3 linked regions of the Zea mays genome follow. The protein of the gene in region 3 interacts with the protein of the main gene of each other region in a pairwise test. Links are inferred from orthologs where the notes say so. Each region holds a gene or a part of one and is shown on either strand. Other genes may lie near its edges. The genes, in order: Meiotic recombination protein SPO11-2, DNA topoisomerase 6 subunit A3-like and type 2 DNA topoisomerase 6 subunit B-like.

Region 1 (4,144 bases), on a different chromosome or scaffold from region 3:
TCGTAAACAACGTAGGCGTCGTTGAAGTTCTCCCTTCTGGGTGGTCGTAAACAATGTATATACGTACGTACACACACACATGTAGCCAACATATGCAGCATACAATAATCATATAACAGCCAGTCATCACCACAAGCTTTTGATGAGATGAAAAGAACATGTAGCTATACACCCTTTTTTGTGGCCACCGCTCAGTCTCCCAAGTAAAAGAACTAGTATTCTTAGGCCATGTATGTACACGTGTACATACACCGCCTAGATTGATGAGATGAAAAGAACATGTAACTCTCTCTCTAGTTTTTTTTAAGAGCGATTGACTTAAGTTAACCATCCCAAAAAAATATTTTTAAGCTTCTTACAAAATTACTAGATAGTTGTACGTGCTTTGCTACAGTTGTTATATGTCATATAAATAGACATTAAAATATTTATTCGTATATAATTGTTGTTTATTTCTAAACTCTATAAGGTACGTGTGCTGGTGGTTAGACCTAAATTTCTGAAGCAGGGGACATGGGTTCGAGTGCTCACTCTGCACTATTTTTTGTATAGTGTGGTAGTTGTGCGGTCGGGATCGGGTGCTGGGTAGGCTCGGGTGCTGGGTAGGCGCAGTAGGGCGTTGGGGGTCCACATGGCAGTAGCTGAGAGGGCGTTGCGCGGGCGTTGGGCATGGGTCCCACAGGGCACGATGTCGAGGCGAGGTGTGTGGGACGGGAGAACCAGTCGGAACGTGTGGGGCGGGCCTAGAATTTTAGCGCTGAGGTTGAAACCGTGGTAGCACCAGCTGCCCACGTTAGATTCTTAATAGAGTAGTATAGATTTAGAAGCCATGAAAATGAGAAAAAAATTACATGTCAATAGATATGGAGGACTGACTATTACAAGATTTTGTGCTCAATTTCACACAAGTGCAGTTATGCACAAAAGGAAACGGAGGAAATTCCAACAAGCAGCCTTATGTTTGACGGTTGTCCTTCCGTCCGACTAGGGGTGGTAATGAATCGTGATCCAAATGCTTTTTCACAAAATGATAGAGTTTTAAATAATTTGCAGTTCAAAAATGAATAGAAATAGAGCACGATTCTAATCCGATTTGATACTTAAATTTTATAGTTAAATTTTATAGTGTAAAAATTAGAATTTATTGTCACCCTACGTTCAATATAAGTTTAAGTCTGTAGGGGGCATACTACCACAGGTACGCAGACCACTACTGGACTCTCATTTCCTAACTCGGCCCAGCCCATTCGCCGGTGCCCGCAGGCCGCAGCACACACACAACTTGGCGACTCGCCTCCGCCCGCGAACCGCAGCAGCGTCTCCAACTCTCCATCGATGGCGGAGGCGAACGTGGCAGCGGCGTCGCTCTTCGGCGCTGACGGCCGCCTCTGCTCAGCCGACATCCTCGCGCCGCCTGAGGTTCCGCCTCGCCCATGTCTTCGTGCGCGCCTTTCGTTGTGGTCACTGACGGGTCCTATTTCGTTGTCGATAGGTCCGGGCTAGGATCGAGGTAGCGGTGCTCAACTTCCTCGCAGCGCTAGCCTCCCCTTCCTCGCCGGCCATCTCCGTCCTCCCCCTGGTACACCAGTTGCCAAACCTCCCCCCCTCCCCCTCTCTCACACACACACATTCCTCTCTTACCGCGGTGATGGTTCTGCGCGCTTCACCCATGTGCCATGTGGATAACACAGGAATTTGGTCCCTAGCCAATTATCACGATTCGTCATCAGTTATTGCAAGCTGTATGATTTCTAGTTCAGATAACCTTGGTGAAATGTATTGCGAGCAGTATTCTGAATGATTTCTTTTTTCCATGGCAGATTAGTCGGAGCTCTGCCAACTGCAGCCTGCGCAGTGGGTTGCTGAACGACGTCTCGTCGGTTTATCTCTCATACACCTTCTGCAAGAGGTCTCTGACGCACAATCCAAAGGCGTTCGTAAGAGGTTACCACTTGTTCCTTGAGTACCCTGGGACGGAATTATCCTCGCCCATTTGTCTGGTTAAAATAGCCGTTTGTTGTGGGATAGTGTGGAAGGTCATGGAGATGTGCTACAAGATCTTGGGGGAGGGGAAGCTGGTCCAGCAACGGGAGCTGTTCTACAAGCTCCTGTCCGACTCACCCAAGTACTTCAGCTGTCAACGTCATGTCAACCAAGCCATTCAAGGTGGACAAAACCCCCACCCCAACCCATTTGATTCTTGTTTGGCTAATGTGTAGTTTGGTCGTAATCAAATTTGGTCCCCTCTTCACGTGCAGATGTTGTTTCCTTGCTCCGGTGCACAAGGCAGAGCTTAGGAGTCATGGCATCAAGCAGAGGGGCACTCATTGGGCGCCTTGTGTTGCATGTCTGCTCCATGATATCCCAGAATATATCCTGATTATGTGTTGAGGGAATACATGATAAAGTCTTGTTTATCTTTTCAGTAAGCACCTAAACTGCATGTTTCAACTACCTTAGGAACCGGACGGGGAGCAGATTGATTGCTCCATTCTTGGAGCTTCAGGGCATGCAATTACGGGGGACCTGAACCTGTTGAGCAAATTAAATTTGTCTTCGGGCTCTCGGTACATCATTGTGGTGGAGAAGGTACCGATCCTACTGCTATAATTTAGTAATGATTTATCTCTATAGTGCATCCTTATAGCTTATAAGGTCATTTGTTTCAAATAGGATGCCGTATTTCAGAGGCTGGCTGAAGACCGCCTGTATAATCAGCTCCCTTGTATTCTGATCACTGCAAAAGGATATCCTGATATTGCCACAAGGTTGTGTACCTCCATTTCAAGCATTTAGTTTTTCTTATTAGGAGTGTGCAATCAAGCTATCTAGTGCATCCAATTAAAATTCAACGGTGACTGCTATTTATATTTAACCACCCCCCCCCCCCCCACCCCCCACCCCCCCCACACACACATACACCTGAAACCTAGTACCTATTTTACATTTAACCTCTTCCATATAAAACTGTTGGATATATATTGAATGCTTTGGATTGTTTGATTGCACGCTGGCACCAAATGAGTGATTGCACGGGATATATCACCACTTATGTAATGTAACAGTGCAAGTTTGCATCCAAATTCTTTATGATAATGTTGACAATATTTGGTGATAGGTGTATTTATGCCCTACATATTTGCTGTCATGATACAGGTTCATCTTGCATCGACTGAGCCAGACATTTCCGAATATGCCGATTTTCGCATTAGTGGATTGGTTAAGCCCCTTCCTGTGCTCATCGCTATATAGTGTTATAACTGAGTGATGCCCTTTTAACAAATTTAGATAGCATTGATTTTTTTTTCCAGGAACCCAGCAGGGCTTGCTATACTGTGCACTTACAAATACGGAAGCATATCAATGGGCCTAGAGTCATACAGATATGGTACTTTGTTTGAGTGATCATCTGGCCTTTATTCTGCACATGTGGCCGAACCGAACCATGTGAATCCTGTTCTCCATTTTCAGCTTGCAACGTGAAATGGCTCGGGGTGAGAGGAGGTGATCTGCATCTTATCCCCGAGGACGCGTTTCAAGAGCTGAAGCCACGTGATCTGCAGATTGCCAAAAGCTTGATGTCGTCAAAGTTCCTGCAGGTGTGTGTATTTGGCTCTCAACGTCGTTACATAATTACTATCGTTCCCTGATGCTTTATCATATGGCCTTGTGTAAAATTCGGCTTAAGGCCCTTATATATGTCTGCAAATGATTTATGGTGGTTTTCGGCTGTAGGAGAGTCACAGAGCTGAGCTGGCGCTGATGGTGGAGAGGGGCAAGCGTGCAGACATCGAAGCCCTCTACTCCCACGGGTTCGATTTCTTGGGGAAGTACATCGCGAGAAAGATCGTGCAGGGCGATTACATCTGACGATTGGCCGCTGGAATGTTAGCATGGTTGCACGGAACAATGAGCTGCATGGACTGTAGTACAGTAGCTATGTCCAACTGCCTGTAGACTGAAACGATGGTCTGTATGGGAATGTACATAAATACAACAAGAGTAGTCTAATATCGATCATCATCGGCCACCGAATCACATGGGTTTTGACTCTCTTGAGTTCTGATGTTCAGTGGCGGTGCCCGGTGTATGGTCCGGCACTCCGGCCGATGCAGCCTGTGGATGGCAGGACCGGGAATGGATG
Region 2 (4,045 bases), on a different chromosome or scaffold from region 3:
ACATCCAACTAATTCAAGCTATATGATATGCAGATGATCTGCTACATGAACATAATGACTGATTTTGAATAGCGATATTTACAGAAACCATCACTATGTTTTTTGTGCTTACCGTAATCCATAATACCATGTATTCTGCAGGTTGAAGCTCGAATTGTTCTATCTGTTCTTCGGAAGATCAAAGAGCAATACCTCCTAGGTCATGTTGAGCTGCCACTTCGTATTATCATCACGGATCATGAGAAGACATCAAGAGCTGAAGCTGAAACTACTGCAGTTGACATCGTGCAGGCAATAATTACTGAAACTAGTGCAGTTGATGTCGTGCAGGCAAGAGCTGAAGTTGAAATTAGTTTTGATTGAACCTGGAAGCCGCCCTCCTGTTTCATCAAAATCCAAAGCACCAACAAAATCTAGAGGTAATTTAGAGCAAATATCCAAAGAATTCACTAGGAGACCACAGGGAATGATAAAAATCCCTATTAACTCACTGAACCATTGGTTGAAGAAGAAAGCCGCAAGGATTGCAGTGTGACATTTTCTTACAATAGCCTTTTGGTCCATTTACTATACAATAAATTGGTACAGTTATTCTAGGATTGGGTGTACATATGAAAACAGGGTAATTGAATTTAATTGTCATGTTTCTAAAGACATCATGCATGGATTTTCATACTGCTATATATCAATTTCCAGTACATTTTCATTCAATCCGGGTTATCCCATTTCCATGTCAAACACGGAACTAATAAGCCCTACAGAAATATAGGACACAGAACAACCAAAGTTCGACCAGATAAGAGGCCGAACCAATTTAAATCACCTGTGTTATGTATCAAATTCCAGCACATATCTGGCAGCAATGTTTTCCACAGAACAGTTCTCCAGCAGAAATAAATAATACAACAGCTGGTGTTCAAAAATACATGTGATTAACTAGATAGCGAAGTCTTCATTCATGCCAATTTGGTCCTTGAAAATACTGAGCGGAGGAGGGCATTATCTTGGCTAGGGAAATTACTGATATCTGCATGTACAAACACAATATCAGGTATAATGACAGTCTTGGTTAACTGATACATTTGACTGAACAATCTGGATCTCTGTGTTGCTAATTCACTCATGAGGAAAGGTGCCTAAGTGTTGTGTTGTGCTGTGTACTTGGTGAAATGCACTAATAACCATATCAAGCCGAGCGTGGGCAGCAATGAACAAAGTGACGCGAACAAGACCAAAGATCTCGTACCTAGCATTGGAGAGTTCTCAAATCCAATCCTGCTCCTGCAACTTAAGAGGCAGGTAGACCTCAGTGAGGTACTGGAACCCGAAGGAACTGAGGGCCTGTATCTCAGCCTTTTGCTTGGTGCGAAGCATCGTCTCCAGCTCCTTCACCCAGCCCTCATTCTGCTTCACGAAGTCCTCCTCGAGCAGCTCTTTCCCCACCTTGATATCGTGATCGGTCATGGGGAGACGGCACTGCTCCGGCACTCTGTACTTGTCCAGGTCGCTCGGCCGGACACCGAGCCACTTGATGTCCGGCGTCGTCAGATTGGCACTGTCATACGACATGTTCTTGGAACCACACATGTACACCGACAAGATCTTGAGCCCGTATGGATCGGAATCCACCAGCGCGAGCACTGGCAGCTTCAGCTCAACCTTGAGCCTCCGCAGGAACAGCCGGGTGGCGACATCTGGCTGCCCCTTGGCCGTCAGAATGATGCAGGGGAAGCGGTTGTAGAACCTGTCCTCGGCGAGTCGCATGAATGCAGCGTCCTTCTCCACCAGGAGGATGAAGAGCGCGTCGCTCTCGATGCCCGAGACCCTGTCGACGTTGGGCGGAATGGCCTTGCCGCCGACGCCCATGCGCGTGCAGTCGATCCGGTCCCCGTCGTCGGCGAAGACGAGGCGGCCGACGACGACGCCCTTCTCGGAGGCGACGACGTGGAGCGAGGACCTGGTGCATCCGAGCATGCAGGAGACGTCGTCGAGGACGGCGTCAGACTGGGTCTGGTCGCCGAAGAGCTTGACGTCGGTGTAGAAGAGGTCACGCTTGGTGACGTGGATGCCCCTGCCGAGGACGGCGTGGACGAGGGAGAGGACTCGCGCCGTGATGGTGGCCTTGCGCGCGGTGGCGACGTTGGCGAAGGGGCGCGCGGACTCGCGGCGGACGAGCACGATGCGGTCGAGGTCCGGGAGGTAGACCTGGTTGGAGGCGGCGCGCGAGGGCACCGCGAAGGAGAAGCCCCGGCCGGAGAGGATGCTGCGCGCGGCGGCAAGGACGAGGCGGTTGATGCGGGAGGTGACGGAGGTGGAGTCCTGGTCGGCCACCACGATGTACGAGGAGGCGGGGTCCGCGCACGGGTCGTGGTCCGCGAGGGACCTGGCGGCGGCCTTGGATTTGGAAGCGGAGGCAGAAGCGAGGGAGCGGAGGGTGGCCAGGATGGAGGCGTCGGGGCGGAGCTTCGAGCGGAGGGACTCGGCGTACGACGCGGCCGAGGAAGCACGCGGCTTCTTGGAGCTGGATGCGGCGCCGGCCGCGCTCGCACCGGCGCGGCGCTTTTTCTCCGACATGGGGAGGAGCGAGAGATCGGAAGGCGGCGGAGGGAAATACGGGGTTCTGGGGCGCAGATGACGGCGTCGGCGGCGGGGCTTAGCTCGAGCGCGGCTGCGATTTGGTCTGGTGGTGACTGGTGAGGAGTGTGGAGGACCGACTGACCGAGTACCGGAGGAGGGCTGTGCCGCGCGCGGCGTCTCGGCTGGGCTAAGCTAATGGGCCGAATAGCTTATGGGCTCAAGGCCGCAATGACACAAAACTATAGATGAGCAAACTAGTCATGCTCGGCACGATACGACCTGGGCTCATGCCAAGGCACGACATGACCAGGCCCACGGGTCTATCGGGCCAAGCATGCACAATCATGCGTGGGCACATCCCTTTGAACCATTTTTTCGGGTCAAGCCAGCCCGAAAAGCCCTAGCCAAATAGAGTGTCGAGCTAGCACGAAAACACAATTTGAACAAAAACATGCACAATTTCAACATCCAACACAATTTGAACAAAATATACACAAAATTTGAGTTGTTAATGCAATGTTGTCTCGTTAAAAACCTTTATAGGTAAAACTCATACCTCGTGAGAAACCCTAGAAAGGAAAAAAGTACGACCAACTCAGTTTATAATTCAAATGTTCAAATTTATTACAAGCCAAAGGGTGATATCAAATTAGATCAGAATTCACGACGTAGCCCCCCTTCTCGGCTCCGTACCTCAACGGCCTTGGCGGCACTAGCACGACCACGACGTAGTCGGCCGATGACCTACCAAAGCCCACAAGCAAGCAGCGAAGAGGAGATTAGGGTTAGGGATTGCCGATTGGAGAGGGAGAGCCGAAGAGGGACGTACCTGCCTAGCCGGAGCTCAAAGCCGGAGACAAGGATCTAGTGCACAACGACGCTTGACGAGCCGATAACCGACGACGACGAGATTTGGGTTAGGGATTTCTGGATTAGGGAGGGACCGAGGGAGAGCCAGAGAGGGGCAAGCCGCACAAAAGGAGTGTAGGAGACCCGCCGATGTCGCCGGTGATGAAATTTCGATGGTGGCGACAACAACAGCGAGGCAAAGACGGCGCGACGGGCAGACCACGAACAAACGAATCGAGTGGGGAGAGGAGCAGGAGAAGCCGTGTGGGAGTGGGACACTGGGATGAGACGAGGGGAAGGGGGATGTCGTGTGTGCCTTATGCCCTGCACCCCGACACCGAGGCGGCCCCGTGCCTGCTGTTTTCTGGCGGGCCGGGTCGCGCAGCAAGCACTATGGATAGCCCAAGCATGGCCTCGTTTATTGTGGCGGTCCGGCCCAGGCACGAACCCAGTCGGGCAAAAAAAAGAGCCTCGGGCTACATGCTCATGTATACACACACAGAACATCAACGAGTCTCGCAGAACATCAACAACAACGAGTCTCGTACGTCCTATATATTATTCCTAGCAGATACTCAGAACTTCATCGATTTCTATACAGAACCATACATATGTTATG
Region 3 (3,823 bases):
GTCTGGTGGGTGGGAAATGGATTTGTGAAATGTTATTACTACAAGATAAACAGATAATATGGTTCTTCAAAACACAAAGAAGAAGCTTACTCTAAACAGCGAAGCGTGATCTCTAAATGACAGGGAAACTACGGAGCAGCTTACTGCAATTTTACTAGGCCGTGGTCTCCACTTTGCCTAAAAAGTTGCCCCAAGACTAGTTTTGATTAAACTGTAGAAGTTTTGGAAAGGCTGCAGGCTGCAGCTATATTCCGTTTAATTATTTAATTTCTGCAATTACGTTTTCTAAACATTGACGTAGCAACTGCTACTTAAACCGCCTCGAGTTCAGCGAGCGGGTTTAGTGGAGTCTGGGCTACAACAATTAGAGATTAGAGATGGCAACAGGTATATATTTATTATCGGATTATCTATATACGCTCTTAGTACTAAATCTACTCATACTTATACCCCATGCTCCATGGGTAACCCATACTCGCTAAGAAGATCTTAAATTATAATATTCCGAACACTCAAATGTCAAATAAATACATAAAAATAAGTTTAACCTGAAATATAACAAACCAAATGATTACATAACTTGAAAGTTAAATAAACGATAGTCGAAAAAGGGTTTTATTTTAATTTTATTAGATAATAATAGTTGTATGGTACAGATATATTTTACTCACGGATATACGGTGCGTGTATCGTACCGTTTATCCAACGGGCAGGGATTGTTGTTCATTAACATATCCACCAATATAAAAATCATCTCATATCCACCTACATAAGTATTCGGGTTTTCGACACCCATTGCCATCTCTAACTACACTACAACTCTACGAGACGGTAGACGGGTGAAAACAACGCTAGAAATCGGAAGCCATGTCTTCATCTCCACCTCCTTCGTCCAGCTCGCTATCTTCATCCAGCTTCTCGCATTCGAACAGATAAGGCACGTTGTCCTCTGAATTATCCTTGGTGTCATTTATCTCTATGATGCGGATCATCTTCTCGCAGATCGACGACTGAACAGCTCCTCCAGAGACGTCTTGTTCGGAGCCTAGCCCAAGAAGCGCAAAGCATTCGCCTTGGAACTCTTCATCGGTGGATGACAAGATCAGCCCAGCGATTGATTCCGCAAGGTCAGGAACGTATTCACGAACCTGAAATGACATAATGAACCGAATGATTTAGAGTGCTTATTATGATACAACCTGAAATGATATAACTAACATATGGTATTCTTTTCATGATAGAATTTTATGGTGCTTATTATGATGTCACGCTTAGCTTATCTTTCTCTATACTAACTCTAATAAATAGGTGACCATTTGCAGCGTAGTTGCGTAGTTGATAGAATAAGACAAATTGTCCTAAGTGTATGATGGCACTTTAGCCTTAGCTTCTACCCAAATAGCAACATAATTTCTTCAGTCCAAAAAACATACTGAATAAGTTAATCAATAGTAGTAAAAAACTAAGAAATATGTACAAAGTGCATACCCTCTGGCCATGGCAACTAAGAAAATCTCCTGCATGATCTGCTTTCAAGTGAGTTAGAGCAGATTTGAGTGCCTTCCTCAAAAGGTATCTATCCTGTGGAGATCCCTGCCGTTCTTGCATAGCAGTGGCTGGAGAAAGTCAAGGATAGACAGAAAATCCACCCTCTACATATAGATTGAGCTTTCACTGAAAAAAATAACTTGTGGATGAAAACAAAAAGAGGATGAAGTGTGCAAACTGGATATCATTCGTGGTAAGTATGAATGGAAATATCAATACGAGCAAATGCCATGTTATCCCACTCGAGAACAGCGTTTCCGTCATCACCCATCAAACCTCCTTTTAACTTGAAACCATAGCTTTGCCAGTCTGTGCTCATCAACACATCAAAAGAGGACTGCAATATCTGACAAGGTACAAAATCTTCAAAGTACAAAACCTGCAATTGTTGCAGCCAACAATGGCATAAACTATAAGCTCAGTTGAATCATGCTTAACTCTAATATACTTTACGAGAGTTATTGTACTGTTAGTAAGTAAGTTATAAGTCAAACGAACAAGTCATTTCCATTGTCAAATTAAAATAAGATTGTCTTGGCATGGGGAATGTACCGCACTAGGGCCTAGGAGAAAAAACTATTTAGGAAATGAAAATGTATAACTAAAACCTTCGTGGTTCAAACCTGCGTGGACGAGCAATTTGCCATACAACAATCTGAATCAGATGCAATATGTGCAATCACTATGACTACTTCAACATGTAGTCGGTTAGCTTTTCTTCTTTCTACATGGTTTGCTGCTCCAGTTCCAATCTTTAGAAGATCTCTGAAGTAAGAAGGAAGAAAAACTAAAACTTACTAATCATGTTATGGAAGCACACCAATCTGTCCTGACCCGTGAGGATGCATAACACCACACTCAGATGATATGCAAGTGTTCATTAGCATGCCAATGAGTGAATAGACAACAGACCAGACTACATAAAGGTTTGGACATAGGAGCTTAGCACATGCATGCCAGAAAGGCCGAGAGAATGGGCTTGGGCTTGGGCTTGGGCTTGGGCGATTAAGAAATGGGCAAATACACAGTGAAGCATGGGATGCTGTTGCATGTGGGCTGCCATCAACAATTTTCTCATGGTTAAATATAGGAAAGAAGATACAAAAGATCTAATGCTAACAAGTGTGAAAATATATCTTAAACACAAATCATGCTAACAAGTGTGAAAATATGTCTTAAACACAAATGAATGCAAATTTCTTAAAAAAATCAACGAATGCAAACATAGCACATAGCAGTGATTCTTGGTTAGCTTTCTCACATAGGGCTATACCTAAAACAAAAAACATGATGTCAATGGACCTGAAAAAAGGAAAAAAATATACAATTGAATTCAAAGAATAATGGAAAAAGCGATCTGCTTAACAAGATTTATCAACAGCAAACTCCAAAGAACACGGAAAAGAGATTCCAGAAATATCATTTAGCTTTCTAAATTGTGAGTTCAGGAAAAAAGCTAGAAATGAATACAGATGATAAACTACTGATGAAAGATTCAAATAAAGACAGATAGCAGAAAAATATGATTTGGTTTTTAAAACATCTCATTTTGAGTAAAGACTAGAAGTAATTATAAACAGAATATTGGTAAGCTCAGAAAAGGGACACAAGCAAATCAAAAAGCACAACCCCTACCTAGATGCCCCCAGGTAAGAATAAGGGTGACTTCAGCATGAAAATTTTGGAGCATATATTAGCAAATTCAGTAAAATTATCTTAGCAGCATAGTAGTATGAGAAAAATATGTAAGACAGTCATGATGGAAAGGTTTTTTTACCTATCAAATAAGCACATGCCACACTTGTCGCAAGAATTTACATGGGAGAGTGAGTAGTCTTTAAGACCAGAAACTAGCTGGTCAATACTTGATGCCGTAACAGAATGATGCACATCATCAGAATCTTGTGGTAGACAGACATTTCTGGAACCAGTGTTGCCTGTTTGCTCAACAAAGAGCTCACATGCTAAATTCTAAGTACAAAATAAACAGCCAAACAGGAACTTAAGTTGTCAGCTTAAGGAAAAAGAGGCAAAACAGAGATTCTCAAGGTACATGCGTCCTTGATACTCAACAATCGAAACTGAAAATATTCCACAACCAATTCAAGTTAAATGTCACACTCGGACGGTCACACCACAAGTGACCGACAGCTGAAAAATGGTAATCACTTTTAGACCTGTTATGTTTTTTTGTTTCAGTTAATCAGCTCAAGGACATATATACACCTATTTAGTTTATTGATAACCTTTTTTCCAAGATACTTGTTACCAATAT

What was found.
Region 1: the proteins of type 2 DNA topoisomerase 6 subunit B-like (region 3) and Meiotic recombination protein SPO11-2 interact in binary tests that used the Arabidopsis thaliana proteins (3 or more experiments, as listed by UniProt). The link is inferred for Zea mays from reciprocal best matches to the Arabidopsis thaliana genes AT1G60460 and SPO11-2.
Region 2: the proteins of type 2 DNA topoisomerase 6 subunit B-like (region 3) and DNA topoisomerase 6 subunit A3-like interact in binary tests that used the Arabidopsis thaliana proteins (3 or more experiments, as listed by UniProt). The link is inferred for Zea mays from reciprocal best matches to the Arabidopsis thaliana genes AT1G60460 and RHL2.

Annotation. Positions count from the first base shown.
Region 1 is NC_050099.1:34,754,998-34,759,141, forward strand, and holds Meiotic recombination protein SPO11-2, read left to right. Parts: upstream 1-1,274; 5' UTR 1,275-1,335; coding exon 1,336-1,419; intron 1,420-1,492; coding exon of another isoform or gene 1,493-1,579; intron 1,580-1,820; coding exon 1,821-1,944; intron 1,945-2,028; coding exon 2,029-2,166; intron 2,167-2,258; coding exon 2,259-2,347; intron 2,348-2,460; coding exon 2,461-2,589; intron 2,590-2,673; coding exon 2,674-2,768; intron 2,769-3,156; coding exon 3,157-3,219; intron 3,220-3,311; coding exon 3,312-3,388; intron 3,389-3,471; coding exon 3,472-3,599; intron 3,600-3,735; coding exon 3,736-3,870; 3' UTR 3,871-4,057; downstream 4,058-4,144. UniProt on the Arabidopsis thaliana protein: Component of a topoisomerase 6 complex specifically required for meiotic recombination. Together with MTOPVIB, mediates DNA cleavage that forms the double-strand breaks (DSB) that initiate meiotic recombination.
Region 2 is NC_050096.1:43,347,649-43,351,693, reverse strand, and holds DNA topoisomerase 6 subunit A3-like, read right to left. Parts: upstream 2,680-4,045; 5' UTR 2,575-2,679; coding exon 1,264-2,574; 3' UTR 1,247-1,263; intron 1,028-1,246; 3' UTR 612-1,027; downstream 1-611. UniProt on the Arabidopsis thaliana protein: Component of the DNA topoisomerase VI involved in chromatin organization and progression of endoreduplication cycles. Relaxes both positive and negative superturns and exhibits a strong decatenase activity. Involved in cell-elongation processes.
Region 3 is NC_050100.1:60,887,255-60,891,077, reverse strand, and holds the end of type 2 DNA topoisomerase 6 subunit B-like, read right to left. Parts: intron 3,520-3,823; coding exon 3,326-3,519; intron 2,314-3,325; coding exon 2,172-2,313; intron 1,928-2,171; coding exon 1,734-1,927; intron 1,613-1,733; coding exon 1,489-1,612; intron 1,149-1,488; coding exon 852-1,148; 3' UTR 600-851; downstream 1-599.